3 linked regions of the Struthio camelus genome follow. The protein of the gene in region 1 interacts with the protein of each later gene in a pairwise test. Links are inferred from orthologs where the notes say so. Each region holds a gene or a part of one and is shown on either strand. Other genes may lie near its edges.

Region 1 (7,701 bases):
GGCCCAGGTGAGGCTGGTTAAGGCTGTTAAGGCCTATTATTGCACTCAGACCCCGACAGCTCGTGCCACTGGTCAGCAGAGCTGATAATCTTCAGTGCGTCCTTCAAGGACGCCTGTGCGATGCCGAAGGCAGCCTTTGGGGCTGCAGCCCCATATGCTGCTCTTAATTCCAGCCTAAAACAGCAGCGTTAGCCCTTTTGGCGAAGGCTTCTGCTAAGCTCTGGTTTTTGTTTGTTTTTTTTTCTCCCCCCCCCGCCCCCCACCAAGCTTGGCACTAAAAGGCAAACAAACAGCTCTGTGAGCTCCAGAATTTGTGCAGCCTGGTTTTCAACAGGCTCTTGTCTCTTGGGGGACTGACCTGGGTGCCTGAGAGGGCACAAACTCTGTCTGAAGTTTTTCCCACGGTTTAGACATCAATCAAGTGTCAGGTCCATGTGGATTCTCTGATGTCTAATAAGGCATGACAGACTATGTTAGTCTCTCTCACAGTTGCAGCTTTTGCAGGGTCATTCTCCTCCACCCAGCTGTTTGTAATTGTAGGACCTGAATTACATTGGAGAACTCTGTACTTCTGTCAGTTTTGACTAAAACTGGCCAAAGGGTTATGAAGTTTTCAGAGAGTGGAATCTAGAAGAATGTGAGTACGCTGATACACGAGATGATTGCATAAGCCCTGTTATATTAGGAAATCAAAATAACGAACCCTCTTTCCACTAAACATGATAGAATTTATAGTCGCATTGCCCCTGGTGATGCAAAAACCCTTTTTTAAACTTTGCTCTACAACCTATGGAGAGCCGCACTGCAGAACTCCAAGCTATTGCTTTATCTGGGAGTTTGAGCACAGGGGAGATGCTCTTTGCACTTCAGGTCGGCTTATTTACTGCCCCCGTGGGAAGGAGGTGGACTGATCAGATCCCTTCGTCTGTGCCTTTAATGAAAGGAAGTAGAAAGTGGAACTCAGAGCTGCTTTGAAGTGGCTGCAGAGCTCATGGAGCCAATATGTAGTTGGTTCCTGTTATTGGGGAGAAAAAGCCGAGAGGAACGCGCAGAGTGAAAATAAACGTCGACCCTACCTAGAAGGATTCTTCTTTTCAGTCAGTGTGCGAGCAATCACAGGAAGCCGTGGAGTTAGCACATGAGCTAGGGGTCTGCGTGTGAAACGGGGCACTTAGTAACCTCTGTGTGGCTCTGATATCTACTGGGAAGCTCCAGGGCCTTAAAAAAGCAAAACGGTTATAAAGGATGTCCAACTATTTCTCAAAAGGGAATAAATTGGCAGGGATCAAACTGCACAGCCCAAACCAGGTATTCTGCAAAGACACCCAGGGTGGATTTCTGCCCTGGAGAAGGAGCGGTCTCCGGGGCAGCTGTCCTGCCTGCTGCCACCGCACCACCTCGGGCAGCCTGCGTGGCCGCGCAGAAGCCCAACGTGGCCTGCGAGGCGTGCCGCAGGGCGTCCGCGGGCTGCCCTCAGCAGACAGCAGAGAGAGGATGAGCATGACCTCTACGGTCTCGGCTCCGAAAAGCACTTCCTGCAGAGTGGCAGCTCAGCAGCGCTGCTCTTGTAACTCCCGCATTGGCCGTCTTAGCGCAGGTGCTGCTGTACCTCAGAGCTCCAGGCCCAGATTCATTTTTTCGGTCGCTCCAGCCGAATTTCCCTCTGTTTGCTGAGGAGTCTTAGCAGTCCCACGTAACTGGTGAGAGCAAGAGGCCCTTCTGAAGCAATGCGTCCCTGACTAGACGCCAGGTATCCTGTCCCATTACCTGCCAGTCTCCGGGAGAGTGCACGGGCTGGAAACAGACTGGGAGAGCTCAGCCCACTCGGCTGCTCCAGCAGGGCTGATAGTTTCAGAGCGCCTTTGGAGATGGCTATTGAGCAACCGTTGACAGGCTTTCTCTCTCAGGTGGTGGTGTGCAGAGCCATAGGGAGCCACGCTGTATCTCAGTCCTGACACAGGCTGGCTCTCCTCAGATGTCCACTGAAGGATGCTTCCTGCTCCCAAGCATCCTGCCTGGAGTTATTGGAGTCCTTCTTCTTGAGAAGGAAAACAAGCTTTGCAAGTGCTTTCTTTGTGTAACACTTGTTAAAGCACACTGCTACCCATACTCTCCAAGCAGAGAGCACCTCAGCTTACTCAGCACCGTCCTAGGGGGATCTCCATCAGCACCGCTGGGCAGGAGGAGTCCATTGAAGGCACTGCTGTACCCTGTCAGGGCACACACTTTCCCTTCAGAAAGGGCTACAGGGCACCAAAAGGGTGCAACATTAGCAGATCTTAGGATCATGTCCCCACTGTCCAAATACCAGTGCTGGGCTAAGAAGCTACAGCTGCTCTCCAACATCCAGCAAAACTGCAGTCTCGATTGTCTCTCCGAGAGAGTCCGGAAATTTTTCCTTCTCCCCGCCGGGCAGTGGGTTTCGGTGGGCTGATGCCGAGCCATCGCCAACCGAGCGGAAAAGGCGAGCAGGCGGCGGGGGGCAGGGGCCGGGCCGGGCTGCGGGGCGCCCGCCGCGCTCCCGGCGGAGTCGGGCGGCACCTGCGGGCTGGCCCCGCTACTGCACCGGGCGCCGGGAGCCCGGAGCCGGGAGCCGGGAGCCCGGAGCCGGCCCGACCTCCGCGCCGCCCCGCTCCCCCAGCGCCGCGCACCGCCAGCCCCGGCGAGAGCCGCTGCCCCCCGGGGGCGGCATCGCCCGCCCTCTCGGGGAGTTAGAAACACGCTCTTGCCTTTCTGTGGGACGGAGATTGCAGAGCTTGCAGAAGAGGGAGCTGGTTGGGGTGGAAAGGGTTGGGGAAGTTTTTGCCACGTTTGTGCAAAGTCGGTGATAAGTAACAGAGAGGCTACAGGACCCTGCAAGAGCTGATTGCATGCAAGTAATCTCCACCTGAGTCATGAAACATCTCAGCTCCTCTGCCATGAGCAATTACCACTTATGACAGAAACAGCTCAAGTAAGACTGCCCCTTCCTTCCTAGGTTCCCTTTCAAAGTGCTGGGGGGGGGGGGTGGCTGGCTTTCCCAGAAGTTACTGCCAGCCCTTGGAGTGGGGGCCAGCACATCCACGCACCGAAAGTTTTCATCCACTTCTTTAGGGTGGACGGTGGGCCTGGGAGAAAAGCAGCTTTCCAAACTCAAAGCTGAATTAAAGCAGGGTTCCTGCTTATTTAACGGAGCATTTGCAATTTCTAGAAAAGATGCATTTTCTTCTCCAGGTTGTGTGTGTGTGTGTGTGTGTGTGTGTGTGTGTGTGTGTGTGTGTGTGTTTAAAAAGGAGGTATTAAGGACAAGCTGTGACATTGTGAGCGGAAGATTGCAGTCTAGTTTGGCCATTTGTTGATAACACTACTTTGCAGGCAATTTGCGAGCGGCTGCAGATTTTCTCCCCATCCACACTTCCTTTTTTAAAAGGTGACTTTTTTTCAATGAAACATTCATGGTCTTTTTAGTATCTGAAGGGATGGTAACTCAAAAGCCACAGAGAATCACCAACCAAGTGTTCATGGGGATTTATAAAAAACCCAAAACATGGAACATAAAACAGTGCTTGAGGATGTGGGAGCCTTTACAGACATTTGTGAGCTTTCAGCTAAATTACACGCTAAAGCAAAGGTGAGGGCTGGCATCCTGGTTGCGTTGTGGGGGAAGGGGACAGCCTGACATCCGCAGCATTTCACTGAAGTTGCTCTAAGAGTTGGGAAAGCTGATAGTGGAGGGACCTGAGGAAGGCCCCTGCTTCATCCACCGAGATCCTGGCGCAGAACCAGGTCCTATATGACCAAATGTTCTCTAGCTCCTGCTGGAGCGAGCTGAATGGGTAAAAAGAGGAAAATCTAGACTATTGAAAACAGCAGGTTGAAATGCGGGGAGGCGCAGGGTCTGGAACATAATCTAGCCGTGCGTAGGGGCAGAGACCTGGGGTAAGCCAGGAGGTCTGTTACTCACATGGGAGGGGAGGGTGGTCAGGTTTGGGTTTTCAGCTGAGCAGTCACAAGTAAAGGCCTCTTTTAACTGCTTTCCCCACGTCACAGAGCGCATGTCTCAGGGACTGAAGTAGAGGGTGGTTTGATCATTGTCTTTTCCAGGGAAATGGGTTTTAATGAGGTTTTGAATAATAAAGTGGGATAATTTCCCTGGCTGGCAAGATCATGAAATTTTTATGTCTCCTTTCTCTCCCAAAGTTTTATCACCCTTTATTTTTAGAGACACATAATCCCCCTTAAAAAAAAAAAAAAAAAGGCAGAGAAACTACTGATTTAGGGAAAGCCACTCCTCACCAGGGACTCTTGGGTCAGGGAAAGCAATCCTTCAAGCAGCTTCTCTCCCAGTTGTTCCTTGCCACATGTGCTGGGGACAGGCAAGGGCCCGGAGGGGGCAAGGCAGAGGAGCAGGGTCCCTCCAGCCCCTTCCCTTGGCTGAGCCTTTGCCCAGTGCCTGCACACTGGGGGCAGGTGACGTCCCCGCTCCGGCGGGAGTGTGTTGGGGCGGGAATGGTTCCCTCCCAGTGCTGGCGTAGAGGGCAGGAAGCACGGTGCCTGGGGGAGGCTGGGTGCTGGTGCAGGGCGCTGGTGGGGTGGAGGGTGCTGGTGGAGGGTGTTGCGGTAGATGCTGGGTGCAAGGAGCTGGATGCTGGTGCAGGGTGCTGGTGCCGAGTGCTGGCACCGGGTGCTGTGCATGGCGCCAGTACCGGGTGCTGATGCTGGGGGCATGTCCTGGATGCGGGTGCTGCTACTGGGCGCCGGTGCAGGTGCTGGTAGCGGGTGCGTGCACTGGGTGCTGGTGCGGGGCGGTGTGTGTGTGTGTGTTTTGACGTGAGGAAGTGCCAAAGCTGCAATTGCTTTAGGAAGTCAATCGCAGGGGCCGGGGGACGCGTGCGCAGTGCAGCCGCGCCGCTCCGCGCCGCTCCGCGCCCGCTGCCTCTGCCTCTCCCTGCGGTGCCGAGCCCGGCGGCAGCGCAGAGGCGGCGGCCGCGGGGAGCGGGCGGCGGCGGCGGAGGGCGCTGCGCGGCGGCGGCGGCGGATGCCCGGCCCGTGAGTACCCCGCGGCCCGGCCGGCGCTGCCCGCGGGATGCCGCGGCCGGGGGCCGGGCCCGCCGCCCCTCGCTCGCCCTCGCCGCTGCCTCCCCGCGGCGGGCTGCGGGCAGATCCCCGCTTCCCCCCCCCCCCCCGCACCGCATGCTCCCGCTTTGCTTGCGCCCCTCCGCATGCATGCATGCTTGCATGCTCCCCCCGCGGCGCGCAGCGAGCGCCGGGGTTGATGGGCAGCTCGGGCTGTGTGTGTGTCCGTCCGTCCGTCCGTCTGTCTATCCGTGCCCGGCTGCTGCCTGTCACCAGCCCCGTGTGCCAGGGGGGCTGCCGCCGCGCTGGGCGGGGGGGGGGGGGGGGGGGGAACCGCGATGGCTCCGCGGGGACCGGCGGGCAGGGCGAGGGACCCCCCCCCCCCCCCCCGCGGCGCGCTGCATCACCCCGGCGAGAGGGCAGGGCCCCTGCGAGGAGGAGGAGGAGGAAGGAGGAAGAGGGAGGGGGGCACCCTCCAGGCGCAGGGCTGCCTGCAGCGGGGCTTACCCGGCCCCGGGGGAGGGTGGGGGGGGGGAAGCGTGCCAGGAGGGGGTGTCCGCCGAGGCCTCGGCCAGCCCAGGGCTGCCCTGGCCCTCCTGCTCCCACAGGTGTGTGCGAGGGCAGCCCTGGAGCAGCCAGCCCCACGCCGCCTCGGCCAGGCAGGACGCCTGGGCCCCTCTGTGGCTTCCCGTCTCGCCATGTGTAGACGGGTGTCGTCCCCGGCAGCAGAGCGCGGTAGCTGCAGGGAGCCCTGACCTCGCCGGTGGGGTAGCGGCGAGCGCCGGCCCCTCGGGGAGGTTGGCTGAGGTCAGGCGGTGGCGGTGGCGGGGGGGGTCCGGTCTCTTTGTTGGGGGACGCCCAGCAGGTCACCTGGCCTCTAGCAATGGCAAGGCTGGAGGGTTGGGCAGAGGGGACCTCAGTCGGACGTGTCCCGGCCACGGCTCCCCCCGCCACCCGCCGTCCCGCTGGAAGGCAGCGTGACGGCTTCCTGTCACCCGGCACGAGCGCGGCCCGTGGGCGGCATCCCGGGGTGCCGTGCCGCCGCTTGGCGCCGCGTCCCCGCGGCCGAGGGGTGCGGAGGGCCAGGCGCGGGCCGCCGGAGGTGTTGCACGTGCGGCTCGCGCTACGGCTCTGGGCATGGCGAGGTTCCCTCGGGAAGCTCCCTGTCCCCACCGCTTCCATGAGGCTCTTCTGGCACCGGTCCGTGGCCTTATTTAAGAAACTAAACAAAAAGTGTTAAGTGAGTGGGAGGGATTTCCCCGCTGCGAGGGGAGTTCGCTCCCCTCTGGATGCGTCTCCACCATCGCCGTCGGTAGAGACGCTCGTCCCGTGTCACGCTGGACGAGCAGAGCCTGTTGTTTTTGCTGTCCTGGTGGGTGTCGTTTGCTTTGGGAAAACGGGTCGCCCCAGTGGGCACGTATTGCAGAATATCTTTCCCAGGGGACAACGCCACATCAGATTTCCCTACAAGGATTTTAGCTCCTCCGCGTCAGCCCTTCCCCACAAATGACTCAAGCCGCATGCTAATCAAAATACAGTCGTGTTCTTCAGCAATTAAACAAACTCCACCTCATAAGATTATAGTGGAGAAGCAGGGATTTAGTGACTCGAATATGTTTCAATCAGGGTCTGTGTGTCCATTTTGATGTTGTTATTTAAGAAAAAATAGGAACTGAAGGCAGGTAATCAGATAATGCTACTCGAACCCGGAGAGGGTAAGGGAGAAAAATACCTTGGCAAAGTGATTAATGCTGAGTCTGTCCTAGGTGCAGGAGCAGCCCATCTCCACCCTCTCCCTGCGCTAAGTGCATCCTCTCCTATCTGTGCTTATCTGCGGTCGTAGTCTCACTTTTAGACTGGGCTTGGGCTACAGCCTCTTGAGTTTCAACAGGGCTCATGCAAAGGGTCTGGGCAAGCTCCATGCTCCCTGCTCGTCCTCGTGGGTGTCTGTGGCATCGAGTGATCAACAGGTACACATGGCAAAACAGCCTTGGGAGGCAGCGCGTTGTTCCCACTGGGCTCCTCGCGCGTCGTCGCGCGCCCGGCCTGCTTTTGCTTTTGACCCCTCCATCCCAGAGCTGCTTGGTCTCTGCAGAGAGCGGGCTCAGACTGCCATGGCTTTTACTCTTTTTTTCCCCCCAAGCTTTTATCCTCTGGATAAATTTATTTTGGAAAATTTGCTCAAGAGGAGGTAAAATCTTTGCCGCGCTCAGTTCCTTAGCCCCCCTTGGGGGTTTGCCAAGGGAAGCGTACCCTGCGCCCTGCCTTCCCCTTCCGGCTCTCTTTGTACTTTTGGGCCACCTTCTTCCCCCGAATGCCCCGTCCCTGGGCGAGCGCCCGGCGGCGGGGCCGCTCGCGGCGCCCGGCCCGTTGCAGAGCGGGCCGCGACGCTGCGTGAACCGCGGGGGCGGGCGCCGTGTCCGGGCCGCATCGCCGGGCTCTCGGCTGCCGTGACATACGCTTCCGGGTTACCCGGAGCCCGCGGCGCTCACTGACACTTCCTATTACTCAGTTCCTTATTCATCTCTGCATATCTCTGTAGACATTTCCATTGCAAGAGATCTGCTGAGAACTGATCTAAAGGCAGTTGTTTATATACTTTATTTAACAGCTACCTTTTAATTTGAGGGAAGAAAAAATAACTGG
Region 2 (7,280 bases), on another chromosome or scaffold:
GTGGCAAGCTGTTACTGCTGAAACTGGGTAGTGTCCACTTTAACAGCATTTATGGGAGGCCAAAATTTTTGCAATAATGTTACGATTTTCCCCATAAGAACAATATGATTATGAATTTGTCATTTGAGACTGTGACCTCACTGAAATCTGCTATTAAACTGTTCAGCATTGCTGTTCCTAGAGGGCACGGGAGAATCTGATCAGTGAATCTATGCGTGCTCATGCTGAGCTGGGGCTCACTCTCGTTGAAATCAGTGACAGAACTTCCAATGACTCCAGCGAAAGCAGAACCAAACTGTTTATGTATAGACATAAACAGTAAGATTCAACTCTTATTTTCAGCTACATAAATCTGGAGAATCTCTTCTAAAATTAGTGGAATTACTGTGATTTACCCCAAAGGAATTGGGAGTATTTTTCTGTAATTAATGAGGGGGGGGGAGATATAATTCCCCTATATTGCCTTATCACTACGTATCAGCCAAGACTCTATCTGCTGTCTAAATCATTAGCTGCTTAAGTTGGAGAGGAAGAGCTGACTTCACCATTTGAGGATTTAAGCTTTCACTGTCTACTGAATTTTCTGTTATCCTTATCCCTCTGCTTATCCCCTTCCCCACATCTCAGAAGAAGGGATGAATTTCTGTTTTCTAGTTCTGCCTAGATTTCTTAAAATCTAACGTACCTTCTGTTTCCATTATTGTGTAATCTGAATGGAGACAACCAGAGCACTTTCCCTTCAGTACTTCAGAACTACCTGCCTCATTATTTTTAGATTATCATAGTTAAATTCAAGCCCAAGGCCCGTAGCCGAGACACTGAGCTGTACTGGAATCTTACTAAATCTGACTTCAAGATAATACCTCCAGAAGAGTCATTCAGCTCTTCACCAGTGGTCGCTGAAGTAAGAAGGACATAATCCACAGACTGAGGTGTAATGTAGCATTTTTTTATGTAGCACGTAGAATTTATTCATCTTTGTGAGGCCCATTGTCGTAACAAAATCTCCATGGCCTTTCACAGAATTCATCTGTGAAATGGCAGTGCTTTGGTAATGGGATATATCATAGGATTTTTCTCCTAACTATGTCATACAGCTAAGATCTTTTCCTCCTCATTGCCCTCATCACTGGCTTCTTGAAGACTGGAACCGCATTCTTCCATGCACGTAGGCCTAGCCTGGAATAATGTCCTTTATCCAAGGGCAGGGACCTGTGCTTTTGGGGTGAAAGCTTCCAACTAAATGGTGAGCTAGAGACAGCTTAGCTAATGGCAAGAAGCTCTATTCTGCAGCATTATATCTCTGTATGTGTATCTCTTCAGTTACCAGATATGTGCACTGCTGAAGAAAAGTCACTACTTCTGCCTATAACAGCACTTAAGTCATCAGCTCAGGCTTCCTACAGCCACACAGGCAGAAACAGTTTCCCCGAAGGAACTACAAAATACGTGCTCATTTTTTTCTCCTTCTTGATACACATATAGATGGTCACAACGACTGGGGTTTTTTTCCTACCTGACTGCTGTTATAACCTCTGTAAAAGAAATTATATCGGCCACCCAAAGGGTGTGACCCACAATGGCGCGAAATATGGAGCCAATATAAAAAACAAATTGTGAGTGTAAGAGTGGCAGCAAATGGGTGTGAAGAAGAGCTGAATGGAAAACCATTGAGCTTTTCTCAAATCTTGCAGAGGAAAATGTTGTTGAGGCAGGTCAGTAGCCTCCAGAATATATACTGCAAGAACACACATTAAACAGCTTGCACAATGAAACAGCCAAAAACAGATCGGTGCTATTACCAGAAATTAAACTGACATATGTCTGCAGATCTAACAGGCTAACATTGAAGGGTTGGGTTTTGTGTGTGAATCACTCAAGCAAAATGCAAATGCAAACATATCAAAAAACTTGTGGTTCAGAACTGCAGGTGGGAACCATCCACAAGTGCAGATGAATATAATAAAACCTCCCCATTCCTTCACATGCAGGAGCACACAGTAAGAGGTAGAGCAGCCTAGCTCCACAGAGGCAAGCAGCCTTAGAATTTGCAGCTGTGACTGTTTCAAGGAGAATTGATTATAGAAATTCAGCAGCTAGGAGTCTTTTCTAACAGAACGTTAGACAAGTCTGCATTTCCCTATAAGGAGGTGCTAAACACTGTGGAGGGTCTTCTCCCGACAGGAGCAATCTAATGGATTATCTTTCTGAATCATTAACAGAACACAATGGATCTTAGGCAGGCTCAGGTACTGGATGTTAGTGGATTAGAATCCAGGCTAGTGAGGGAGATGACTTAATTTTGTGAAAAAGGGAGCAAGCTGAAGCAGCAGCTCATAGAAGGCCAGTATCCCTTGAGAAGGTCATTTTCACTGTATCAGCAGCCTTTCTCCCCTTGCTATTTTTTCTCTACACACAGAAAATTATTCCTTGCTCACAGTGACATTCATCTTTTCTTTCATCCAGCAGAACCGTGGCTTATTGTTTCCAAATGACATCTTTTTATTCCCCCCTTTAGAAGTGCCTTTTTATTTGGAAAATACAAGGAGAGGGTAACGTTAATTGTTAATCTGATTTAAGAGAAAAAAGACATGCCCAACATTTCACTCACCTCTTAAGCACCGAGCAGGCAGCCACCTCCTCAGTCCATCAGCGCAAACGCTCACATCCACAGACGCGTCCCTGTCTCCTTCGGCCCTTTTTCACATCAGCATCTACGCTTTGCAGCGAGCAGACACACCGCGGCTGCAGACGCTGGACCAACAGCTCAAGCAGGAGGAAAAAACCTGCCCTGTCTCATTTCTCCCCCCACCCTACGAAATAAAACAGAACAAAACAAACAAACAAACAAAGCAGTAATAGAAACACTTGTCCCGTGGTCCCCCGGCGTGAGACAGGGAGGTGCTCCGCGGGCGCGCAGGGACGCCCGGGCAGGGGGAGCGCGGGGCTGGCGCTCGGAGGAGGAGTCGGAGGCGGCGAGCCCGTTTCCACGCCAACGGCGGGGGGCAGCGCTGCCGCGGCGGGCGGCGGGCGGCGGGCGGCGGGCGGCGGGCGGCGGCGCTGCGCGGGGGGCGGGCGGCGAGCGGGGCCGCAGCGCTGCGCGGGGGGCGCCGAGCGCGGCCGCTGCCGGCCCCCGGCCCCGCCTGCCCCTCGCACGGGCTCCATGGCGTGCCAGGCGCTAGCTGTTGACGTTTTAGGGATTTTTCCCCCCACCCCCACCCCGTCTACTACGCTATATTGCACCCGTGCCTTATATAACGTGCACGCACATATATGCGCTGCCTTACAGGCTTTACCAGCCACACCGACGCATTCACCCGCCCGCATTTGCTCAGCAGGTCCGCGGTGCCGGCTGCAGGGCTGCTGTGCCTCCCTGTCCGTATCAAGGTTTTTAGGGTGAATTTTGCAGGGCGTACTGAAGCTGCCAGTGAAGTAGTGGGAACAAATCGCATACATTTTGGAATGATGCAATAAGGAGAGAGGGAGGGGGGAAAGAAACTGTTTATCTAGTTACTTGGAATTTAGCTACTGTCCCCATCTACTTTTTTCCATCTTTCCCTTTCTGTGTGTGCCGTGCCTGTATTTTCTTCTTTTCCCTTTTTGCCTTTCACTCTTTCCTATCTTTTGCATTTGTCTATGTGTTTTAGTACAGCTTTTGTTTTTAAGTAGTGCCGAGTATCATTTTTCTCTTATCTCATTAATGGATTTACTTTTTTTTTTCTCTCTCATTTTTTCTAGTGTTTTCTTCCTTTTAGCCATACTACAATAGTAGTTGCACTGTAGAGGCTGCAGTCCTGACCAAATAGCTATGGTTTCTGTCTACATAGCTAATCTCATAGCCATAATTTATTACTGATGCATTTCTGCTGGAGGTAGCAATAGAGCTTTTCAGACATAGACAGAATGCAGACATTTTTTTCCACAATCAGGCTAACATAATACAGTGCAGAAAGCATCTGATTCCTGTAAATACTACCACTTCCAGTACTGATATTATCAGCAGAGCTGCAGCATCGATGAATTATAATAATGAAACAGTTTAGTATAAAACAGAGTATGGCAGCAGTATTTTTCCTGTACACAAACAAGAACCAAACATCAGTGTACCATGTGGGGGAAATTTTCCTCTAAGTAACGAATTGTAGGTCTTGCTCGCACTAGAAGAGTTTGCTGGTACATCTAGAGTAGCAAAGTTATTCTGGTAAACTCCTAGCATAGATACAGTCTGTGCTAGGGTAAATGTACGTTCGCTAATGCAATTTACAACTGAAATTCCCAATTTCTTGAACAAAATTCTGTTATAGCCTATATATTTGCATCTATACAAGGGATTTTACTGGTATAATAATAGCATTTTAAAAAATGTCATATAGATAACTGGCATTACTCTCCCAGCAAAAACAAAATATTCAAATTTGCCCCATCCGAATAAAAAAAGGTAATCACCTTAAAAGCACTACAAGTTTATTTTGAAATTTTAGCTTTAGTATCTAGCAATGTAGTTTTGTCTTCTGATGGATTTATATGATCAGACAGTGGTCAATGTTTTAATTCTAAGAGTGTTTTGCTTTTGTTTTTCAAAAGTACTCTTTACTTGCAGTTGCATAAAACCCCAACATAGTTATGTTGGAAAGGGAATAGACTAAAAAAGTGTATCTGTGATAACGGACTGAGTCTAGATAGACGGATAAGAGAACAATAACAGGGTGTGCAGGTTTAATCTGCTATTCCATAAAGAACAAGTAGTTACTATAGAAACTATCACCTTACATGTGTCTTCGGCATAGTACTTTACATGCAAAAAAAAAAAGCATCTTCTACACATTGACCAACTTTGGGAGAAATAATAGCATCAGCTACCATCATCCTGTGTAGGATGATCATCATTGGCATGCTCTCTCCAGATTTCATCACTTTTAGGTACTTTTGATTGATATAACAAAATGCTTTCTTTCTTGCAGTTTTGAGGGAGGCACCTAACTGTAGATCAAGTCTCAGAAGTGATGGAATTATGAGCAGGCAGCACATGAGTAATGGAACGGGTCTTGCTCTGAGAAGTTTAGGTGTTATTGCTTCAACACGACAGCTTGGGAGCTTGCCATTGATTAATGGTACAGTTAAAACCTGACTCATCTGAAAAATAAATCAGCAGTTCTGTCTATATTTTCCTCAATCTCACCTTGTCCTGTTTCCGGAAGTTCTCATTCCGGGCCTTTCAGCTGGTACTGAGTGCACTACATATAGTCAAGCTCCCATAGAAATTTAAAGAGAAATATATCAAAACAACTTGTGCAGATAATTAAATGCCAAAGTCCAATTGTGCATATTTGATGACCAAGAAGAACATAATTCTTAAGCTCAGTGCTCTGAACTTGTTCTTTATATATGGTTAGACTGAAAACACATAAATGCATATTAGAAGTGAATAATTTGCATTACTTTTTATAACTGAAAAGTCTGGACAAACTATCAGATACAGTGTTCCATAAAAAGCACTTCATGGGATGAATGGGTTAACAAATAGTAGCTTGAGGGAACTGTGATGATCTGATTGGATTCCTGCTCTCTCCTCCATGTAAGGCAGGTCACAATTTTTTTCCTAAGTCAAAACAGGTTTTAATTTGAAGGGAGTAGTGTTTGACTGTTGATATGCAACATCTAATATGCAGCTTACAGGAATACATACCTGTTTCACTCAACTTTCCACTGCTGTCCATTGACCGAAAGCCAAATCTTTGCTTGTTTAGCACTGCTTTCTGCTTGAGATCAATCAAAATAGGTGCATTCATATATGTTTAGTGTGAAGATAATAGTGCTAAAACAGAAATGTGTTCTTAAATGCAAAATCCCACAGGGATTTTTGCAACCATCCCATAGGGATTTTTCTAATCGATTAGCATTTATTATACCATGACAACATCAAAATATTTATATGCACACATACAGGATTCCTGGTGAACGTACATCTCCAAATGATAGAGGGGAAAATTGAGAGGCCACATCTGGTCTGTAATAAAAATATAATAAAAGACATTTTATATTTCATTCAGTTTTCTACCAAACACTCTCGTTTTGTAGATCTGGGTTAGATATTTATAGATGGGTCTGTGATTCTCTTTGAGCATGAAGAACTGAACCGAACATTTAGAGAAGAATAAAGAGGCTGTATTTTTATTTTTAACCATTTTTCTCACGTGGAGGAGTTTAAAATAGCATCAACTGCAGATGACTGGAATCTGATATTTATAACTATCTATCTGACATATTGTTGCTTTGCACCAGTGGCTGTGAGATGGTGGAAAAAAAGCCACGAACGTATCCTTCAGCAGGTGGTATCAGCCTGAATACCTCCTTTGGCTTTATGATTTAGGATGAAAATTCATTTTTTACCAGCATTTCACTCTTGTGTCTTGGGCCTGCATCATTCATGACTGAGGGCTTGGCTTAGAATCAACTGTTCGCTCTATTAGGTCTAATCATTGGAGTTATTTGGGAATTTGAACCCAGACAGGGAGTTACAGCTAGTAACACAATCAGCTAAAGAGAAGGACTTCCTTAGTTTTTCAAAGAAGAAAAGACAAAAAAAGAAGAAACAACCTAAGCCTAAAAATGTAAGTGCCTCCTGTACATTTCTTCACGTTTTTTATTATATACCTGCTATATATGCGCTTCTCATTCATTGGCTTGACTGCTGAATCAGCACTTGCCACTGAAGCCAAGTTTAGAAAAACAAGCACTAAATCCAGCAGTTGGCGGACAGCTGCTTGGAGGCTCGCCTAGAGCCCTGGCAGAAGTGCTGGCCCTCCTGCGCAGTTGACCTCACACAGCAGTCTGCACTTACCATAAGCTTTGTGAGCGAGACAGGCACCCAAACTCCTTCAGAGCCTCCATGGGAAGAAAGCTAGAAACAGAGATTTCATGAAATAAGGTAAAGGAGCCATCAGGCCTGCATTATTATGGAAAAAATAGGAGATAAGAATAGTGTTTTCTCATTTCCCACTATTAAGGGTAAAGGAATGGGGAAAAAAATACCAAACTTTAACCCAAAAGAAAGTGGGAGGCATTTAGTACATAAAAAATGTCACAAATTAAAGTCATTTAAAGTTTATTCATTGCGATAAAATGTTTTTTTTTTAAATATATACCAATATATACCAATTTTTTCAAAAATACATACCAAATTGTAAGTAATTGAGAAGCATACACAACAGGACATGAGTTCTGTAGCTGTCATAAGTACATCCACAAACAGCAATTTCTTATCTAAACTTATTAAATAT
Region 3 (7,261 bases), on another chromosome or scaffold:
AAGACAAGTTGAAAAGGATTGTAGCTTGCCTCCTATGGTCATCGTATCCTGGATTTAACCCTCTCCCTCTTCACACCACCCACCAGTTCACAGAGGCTATGCCGAACCAACAATAGCAACTAATTCCAGGGACGGGATCCAGCATGATGCTCCCTCCCAATATTATTGCAACTTCATTTCTGGTGGTGGGAGCGTTGTGGTAGCTGTGGGAGTTTAAGCCAAAGATACTCAATTCGTTTTTACTGAGGATAGTTCTCCCAGCCAGTTTTACTACCTCCTGGCAAGCTGGGAGGCATGTGCTGGCTAAATCCCGAAAACACACGCTGCCTTCACGGCCAGGATCTGTGGCAGGGGTTTGCAACTGCTCCCCAAGGACTTGTCCAGACTGTGAGACCTAGAAGGGCTTCCTAAGTCCTGGGTCTCAATAAACTCCTTGTCTTCCCCCGCATCACACTGTCTGCTATGTTTCCCTTAGAAAGAAAACAAGCTGTCTACGTTAGAAGGAAGTCAGAGCACTCTACAAATCCCTGAGCTGGTAGTCTGGAACTTGGGACGGTGAGGTGTGCTTTAGAGCACATCTCTCCCACCATTTGGACACAGCCAGGAGAATTATGAGAGATATCTCATCACCCATAGGAACACCACACCCCGGAGATCATAAGATGACAATATACCTAGTAACTTTACTTTGGCACTAAACGTTTCAAACGCATCCATCAATTCTGTTAACGTTATCCCAACCTTCACTTCTTAAAGAAATGATTATCTAATTATTTTTTCCTAGCAGAATGGTTGAAAGCAGATTGTGAAGAGGAGACTGTTCTTGCTAAAGCACAGATTACAAATACAGGAGAATGAGGGTTTTCGTTTAAAATATGCTGTTTGTTCTTATGCTTGTAAAGATAATAGTCCAAGCAGAAACAAGCACTGTCCTTCGTGTACTTTGAGTGATATAGTTTAACTGCAGGATCGGCCAGAAAAAAGTCGTCCCCCCCCAACTACCTGTCATGAAAAATATCTTGCATATTTAAGAAAATAAGACAATTTTCTCTGAAGTTGTTAATGAAACCAACTACTTTTCATTAAAAAAGAAATCCCGCCAGTCCCTGGAAACATTATTTTCAGCCACAAAACCCAACGTATTAACCTCAAAGGCCAAGTAGACTGCTACATTTTTTCATTGCTTAGTAGGAGAGGCAGGCTGTTTTTCAGGTTCTTGAAATCCATCTGCCATGAAAACACAATTTGTAAAAAAATGAAATTTCCTTCTAAGAAAAATTCAAATGAAACTTTCCCATCACCACCACTCAATTAGCAGTGACATAAAACCTGTAAAACTTGGCTCAGAAACGGCTCACTTTCACAGCTGCTCCCCTGAATCTGAGAGCAGAGACACCAAGGAGAAGATCTGCCCATTTTGGGTTGTCCCTTAAGAAAGAGATTAGCAGACGCTTACATAGCGATTGGGACTGCACATGGGAGAAAAGGCCTAGTGTGGACCCCCCCACTAGTCACGCAGAAGTGAAATCATTTTCTCCGTGGCAGGAGGCACGGGCTACAAATTTGCCAGATAACGAGTAGCCAGAGGCTGATACGAAAGACAAATTCTCTTAGTGAAATCTTCGGGGAATATCCCAATACGACTCCTATGCTGGCAAATTGGTGGAGAAGTTGGCAAGTAAAACGTAGCCATCTCATGAGGACGCTGCGTCTCGATTTTTTGTTTGTGCTTTTTTTTTAACTGCAATTTTCATAAATCCCTCTGGCTAGTACCGTCAAAATGAAACTTACCAATTGAAATTCTGATCCCATTGATTTTACACAAGGGATTTGCATGGGTATGAAAGAGCAGGAACTGCTCTGCAATCAGTCACGTCTCCATTTACTCCCAACCAAAGACATGTGGTAGATTTGCTTTTCCATGTACGTACTTGTCATCTCATTCCCACGAGCTTCCAGATATAAATTACCCAAAATTCAGATATACAGCACCTATTAGCTCACAAATGAGCAGTAAATACTATTGCTCCCTGAATGCACTGACATTATTTATGAGTTACCTTTTGCCCTCTTTTTTCCCCATTTCTACCTTCTATCTCTTTTTTTACCCCTTTAACCACATGCCATATTTTTTTCCCTTCCTTTCAGGGGAGGGAAAATGAAAAAAAAAAAAAAAAGATTCTGGAAGGAAAGTGTGATGGGAAGCAGTGCTGGGAGGACATGATGATGTTTGCCTGGAAGGAAAGTGTCAGGGAAGCTGTGCTTAACATACTGGAAGTGCTATTAGAAATGGTATTGCTAGCCCTAAAGGAAGGGTCTGTAGATATAGCAGTAGCACAGCTCAAGACAGCAGGATGTAAGAAGAGCTCAGAAGAGGCAGTGGGCCAAGGCCCGAACTGGAAGATCAACAGTGCGTGAGCGTACAATCTCTACCACCCAAAATAAGAAATGGCAAACCACTCCCTTCCCCGAGCCGCTCGCTGTGAGACAGCCCGGGGGAAGTCTGGACCTGGGATTTCCTGAAGGCCTGTTCACTAAACAGAGTAATGCTGGTATTAAGCCTGTTGTATCCTTTCTTCTTAAGGGGGGGGGGGTAGGAGTGGATTTCAAGGGCAAACCTTCCCATTCACATGCTATTTCCTAACAATCAGCCCTTCCTTTGCAGACTTCTTGTTTATTATGTGTGTGTGTGGGGGGGGTGCTTTCTTCATATCAGGCAATAGTCCCTTAGTTTGCTCATCTGTATGTTTGATGGCTTTTAGCTTGCTGTCCTCAACACTCCATTCTTTTCTTTCTAATTTTTTTATAGTCAGACTGTCACATATCAATCAATGTTATGGATTGAAGCTGAATATATCATGACTTGTCTATGTGCTGGAAAAGCATTTTAAAGAAATTTTCCCCATTGACATTTTCTGTTCCCCATTTCCCTCCTTAGGAAATGGTAAAACCAGACAGGAAAATTGCAGGATTTTAACTTGCTAGAATTCCTAAATAATTGCTAGATGTAGTGGAATGGTTATGAAAACAAGGCAGGTTATCTGGTGAGAAGGAATCTTTGATTGCACTGCAGCACAGAAAGAAAAAAAAAAACCCACCTGTTAATCAGACTGATGGAAAACATATCCACAATGGTGGCGAAACTTGATGGCTTCCCTCAAGCACGTAAACAATTTGTATTACAAGTGTTGATCAAAACAATTTAACTGATCAGACCGCTTCAGAAGGGCTCCTCACAGATCTCGCACGCCGGAGGTGCGAGCCCAGCGCACAGGGGCCGGCGGCGCGGAGGACCCGCGGGGCAGCAAGGGAACGGGGCGTCTCCACCGCCTGGGGCTGCGGTACTGCAGCCCCGGCCCCATGGGCGACCCAAGGCCTATTAAAATGCACTGCTGTGTCATGAATCCAACCACACGTCTCCCAGCCCCTCTGATCTCTGTACTACCTGGGCAGAGCCAGGGCAGTGACAGAGGTGCGGGAGCTGTGCAGCTGGGCAGACCCCAGCCCACAGTGACCATGGCAGGGGGGAGAGGACCCAGGGGAAGGGGGGACCGGAGCCCAGGTCACGGCCTCTCCCTAGCCCAGGGCAAGGGGAAAGGAGCTGGGACTGCGGCCTCTGCCCAGGGGAAGGGGGAGAGGAGCCCAGGTCATGAACTCTCTCTGCTGGGGTGAGGAGGACAGGAGCCTGGGTCGCGGCCTCTCTCTGCCTGGGGAAGAGGGGCAGGGGCCTGGGCTGCAGCCGCTCTCTGGCTGGGGAGAAGGGGGAGAGGAGCCCAGGCCGCAGCCGCTCTCTAGCCCCAGGGAAAGGGGGCAGGAGCCCGGGTCGCGGCCTCTCTCAGGCCCGGGACAAGGCGGGCAGGAGCCCGGGCCGCGGGCCCTGGGTGGCCCGAGGCGGAGCCCGCAGCCCGAGCCTGACCCCGCCGCGGCGCTTCCCCTCAGGAGAGCCGGCGAGGGGCCTCGGCGGGACCCGCGGGGCGGCGGCGGCGAGAAAGGCCGGCCGCGCCGCCTCGGGGCGGGGGGGGGGGGGGGGGGCGCGGGCCGGGGCGGCGGCGGCGACCGGGCTGAGGCTGAGGCGGGGGCCGCCGCGAGCATGCGCGAGCCGCGCGCGTCACGGGAGCGGGCGAGGCCGGCGGGAGCGCGGAGCCCCGGCGCGCCCCCCCCGCCGCTGCCGCTGCCTCCCTCCCTCAGCATCCGCCGAGCTCCGCGAGCGCGCCCCGCCGCCGCCGCCGCCGCCGCCCGTGAGGGACCCGCCGCCGCCCGCGCCAGACGGGAGCAGCCCGCCAGCAGGGGAGAACGCGGAACCCGCGAGCACGGGAGAGGGAAGGACCCACCCCCCGCCACGAGCCCTCTTCCTCCTCCTCCTCCTCCTCCCCCTCCTCCTCCTCCGCCTCCTCCTCTCCGCCGGGAAGAGCTCGCACGGCGCCCGCAGCCCCGCTCTGCCCGGTGCCCAGTCGGATGCGCTGATCACTAGGGAGCGGGCAGAAGGGGAGGAAGGAGCCGCGACCCGCCGAGGACACGCCGCGCCGCCCAGAGATTTAGAAAGCTTTTTGTAATCCTTTTTTTTTTTCCCTTCCCTGCCGGGGCTCTTTTTGCCGGCGGATTTGGGCTGCCCCCTGCCTCCTCTCCTGCCCGCGGAGGAGCCAGCCGAGGCGGCGGCGGCGGCGGGGGCCCGTTTTCCTTTTTTTTTTTTTTTTCCTCCCATTTTGTTTTTTTTTTTTTTCCCAATTTTCGGGGCCGCCATGGGATGTACCCTGAGCGCCGAGGAGCGGGCCGCCCTGGAGCGGAGCAAGGCCATCGAGAAGAACCTCAAGGAGGACGGGATCAGCGCCGCCAAAGACGTGAAGCTGCTGCTGCTAGGTGAGCCCGGCGCCGCGCGGCCCCCCGCCCTGCGCCGCGCTCACCGCCCGCCCTGCGCCGCGCTCACCCGCCTTTCTCCTCTCTCCGCAGGGGCCGGGGAGTCGGGGAAAAGCACCATCGTGAAGCAGATGAAGTAAGAAGCGGCGCCGCGCGGGGCCGGGGAGGGGGGGGGGGGATCGCGATCATAACGGCCGTAACGGTGATGATCGCGACGGCGGGAGCGGCGCGCGGGGCGGGGCCGGGCGGGGCGGGGCCGGGCGGCGGCCGCCGAGGTGAGCGGGTGCCCGCGGCCGCCATGTTACCTGAGGGGCCGGCGGGCGGCTCCCGCGCCCGCCCCGCCGCCGCCGCCCCGCTGCTGTTCGGGGCCGCCGTGGTGCTGAAGCGCCGGCGAGCGGGCGGCAGCGGCCGCCGAGGCAGCGGGGCAGAGCCGGCGGACGCGCCGCGGGCGCTCGACGGCAGGTTCCTGCCCCCCGCCTCCCCCCCCCCCGCGCCTCAACGCCCGCTCCCCCGGCGGGGGCTGCCCGGCTGCCGCTGTGGCGTTCATGGAAGGAACGCCAAAATCCGCCGGTAATGCGGATTCCGCGGAAAGGCGCCCTGCCACCCAAAGCCCCTTTCACCCGAGCTTTTAGCCTTTCAATTAATGAGCGGCGAGTTTGGCTGCCGAGCGCCAATTAAAGGGGCCGAGGAGGCAGCGGCGGGCGGCAGCGCTTCGCCCCGCTCCCCTCGCCTCGCCTCCCGCCGCCGCTTGCGAGCCGGGGGGCCGGCGGCGGCGCGGGGCAGCGGCGGCCGGGCCCGGCCCCGGCCCGGGCCCCGGCCCCGCACACACCCCCCGCCCTGCTTCCTCAGCCCTCGCTGCGCGGTAAACAGCAGCGCTGGGAAAACCCACTGCGCGGCCTTTTCCGCGGCGTCGCGATGGCTGGAGTAAGGGGAACGCTGATGAACGGCTGGAGATACGACCGTGGCGGGGTGCTGGGGTTTTCTTTCTTTCTGCTTTTCTTTTTTTTTTTTTTTTTGTTTTCCTCCTTCCCCCTCCTTTTAATTGAAGTACAATCACAATCCCAGCCGCCCGCTGAAGCAGGCACGACAGGCTGGTCCAAGGCGGCGCCATCACTGAGCAACCCCGTGCATTGATTCAGTGCCTCGCTTTTAATTCGGAAAAGACACGGAGCCCTTTCTGCTTTCTAACGCTGATGGTTGCGGAGGGCTGCTCGCCTGGGAGGGGCCCGCGGAGGCCGGCGTTGCCTAGCGAGCGAGGGGCGCCGGCGGTGGGTGTGGAGGCTGCGGGGAGGGGTTGTGCGTGGCAAGCCGCAATCCGGGCAGCGGGTCGCCGAGCAGGGGCGGAAGGGCGCGGGCGCGGCGGCGGGGCCGGGCGGCGGGGCCGGGCGGGGCGGCGGCGGCGGCGTTCAGGCGGTTGCCGTGGTGGACAGCGCCCAGCGGGGACTCGAACCCGCCGGCGCGGCTGCCGCTTCGGCGCGCCTCGGCTCCGCCCGGCGGAGGCCGAGCGCCGCGCTCGGCTGCCTCCGGACAGCGCTCGGAGGCGGTCGGGAGGAGCCGAACGGGCTCGGAAAGAGCCGAAGGGGCTCGGAGCCGCTCGGGCATACCGCTGCCCTGCGCGTCCCTGCGCGGGCGGCCCGCAGCCCCGCCGGGAGACGCCGGCAGGCGTGACTCGGGCATGCCCTGCCCGTTGCTGTGTCAGGCCGTTGCGTCTGGCCGCGGGGGCTCCCGGGGGAGTAAGCCGCCCCCCTCCTACCCCCCCCCCGGCGCACGGCGGGCCCGGGAGGGCTCCCCTCGAGCGCCCGGCGCGCCCCGCCGCTCTGCCCGCCCGCAGCGGGTGCCGCAAGGGCTCCCGCTCAGCCCCCGCTCGCCCGCTGCGGCGGGCGCTTTCCACCCGGAGAGGGCCTGGGGGGGCCCTGCGCTGATGTGGGGCCGGCGGCGCGGGGCTGGGTGTGCGAGGGGGATCGGGGGGGGACGCTGCTGCGGATGAGCACCCATAAATTATTGAGCCGCTTCTGCAGAAACAGGCTGGCATGGCGGACGGCGGGGTTTGGGCGAAGGGAGAGGCTGTGGCGACCACAGCGGCGGCGCGCCAGCGCGCACACGGGGTCCTTGGGCGAGAAGGGCAGGCTACGGCCACGGTGGCACAGGCGATTAGTGTCCAGCGCTGCTGGGTAGCAGAGCTCTTGTTTTTTAAAGCAAATTGTCTCACGATAATAACCAGCCTGCTGGGCTGAATCGCTATATCGAGGACTGAATAATACCCCACTGTTGTACATATGTATTTTTTTCCATGAGACAGTCTGAAAGTAATGCATGGCAGGCTTGCAGTTTTGTGCCTGACTTGAAAAATGCAGAGACGGCAGAGACGGCTGCTATGGTGGCAGGGCTCGTAGTGTCGGAAACTGGG

The links.
Region 2: the proteins of RGS19 (region 1) and GNAZ interact in a two-hybrid assay, tested with the Homo sapiens proteins (2 studies listed by BioGRID). The link is inferred for Struthio camelus from reciprocal best matches to the Homo sapiens genes RGS19 and GNAZ.
Region 3: the proteins of RGS19 (region 1) and GNAO1 interact in a two-hybrid assay, tested with the Homo sapiens proteins (2 studies listed by BioGRID). The link is inferred for Struthio camelus from reciprocal best matches to the Homo sapiens genes RGS19 and GNAO1.

What each region holds. Positions count from the first base shown.
Region 1 is NC_090959.1:17,475,241-17,482,941, forward strand, and holds the start of RGS19 (regulator of G-protein signaling 19), read left to right. Parts: upstream 1-4,690; 5' UTR 4,691-4,705; coding exon 4,706-4,745; intron 4,746-7,701. UniProt on the Homo sapiens protein: Inhibits signal transduction by increasing the GTPase activity of G protein alpha subunits thereby driving them into their inactive GDP-bound form. Binds to G-alpha subfamily 1 members, with the order G(i)a3 > G(i)a1 > G(o)a >> G(z)a/G(i)a2.
Region 2 is NC_090958.1:8,575,381-8,582,660, reverse strand, and holds the start of GNAZ (guanine nucleotide-binding protein G(z) subunit alpha), read right to left. Parts: upstream 3,001-7,280; 5' UTR 2,612-3,000; intron 1-2,611. UniProt on the Homo sapiens protein: Guanine nucleotide-binding proteins (G proteins) are involved as modulators or transducers in various transmembrane signaling systems.
Region 3 is NC_090951.1:21,792,009-21,799,269, forward strand, and holds the start of GNAO1 (guanine nucleotide-binding protein G(o) subunit alpha), read left to right. Parts: upstream 1-4,261; 5' UTR 4,262-4,739; coding exon 4,740-4,857; intron 4,858-4,924; exon of another isoform or gene 4,925-4,947; coding exon 4,948-4,990; exon of another isoform or gene 4,991-5,012; intron 5,013-7,261. UniProt on the Homo sapiens protein: Guanine nucleotide-binding proteins (G proteins) function as transducers downstream of G protein-coupled receptors (GPCRs) in numerous signaling cascades.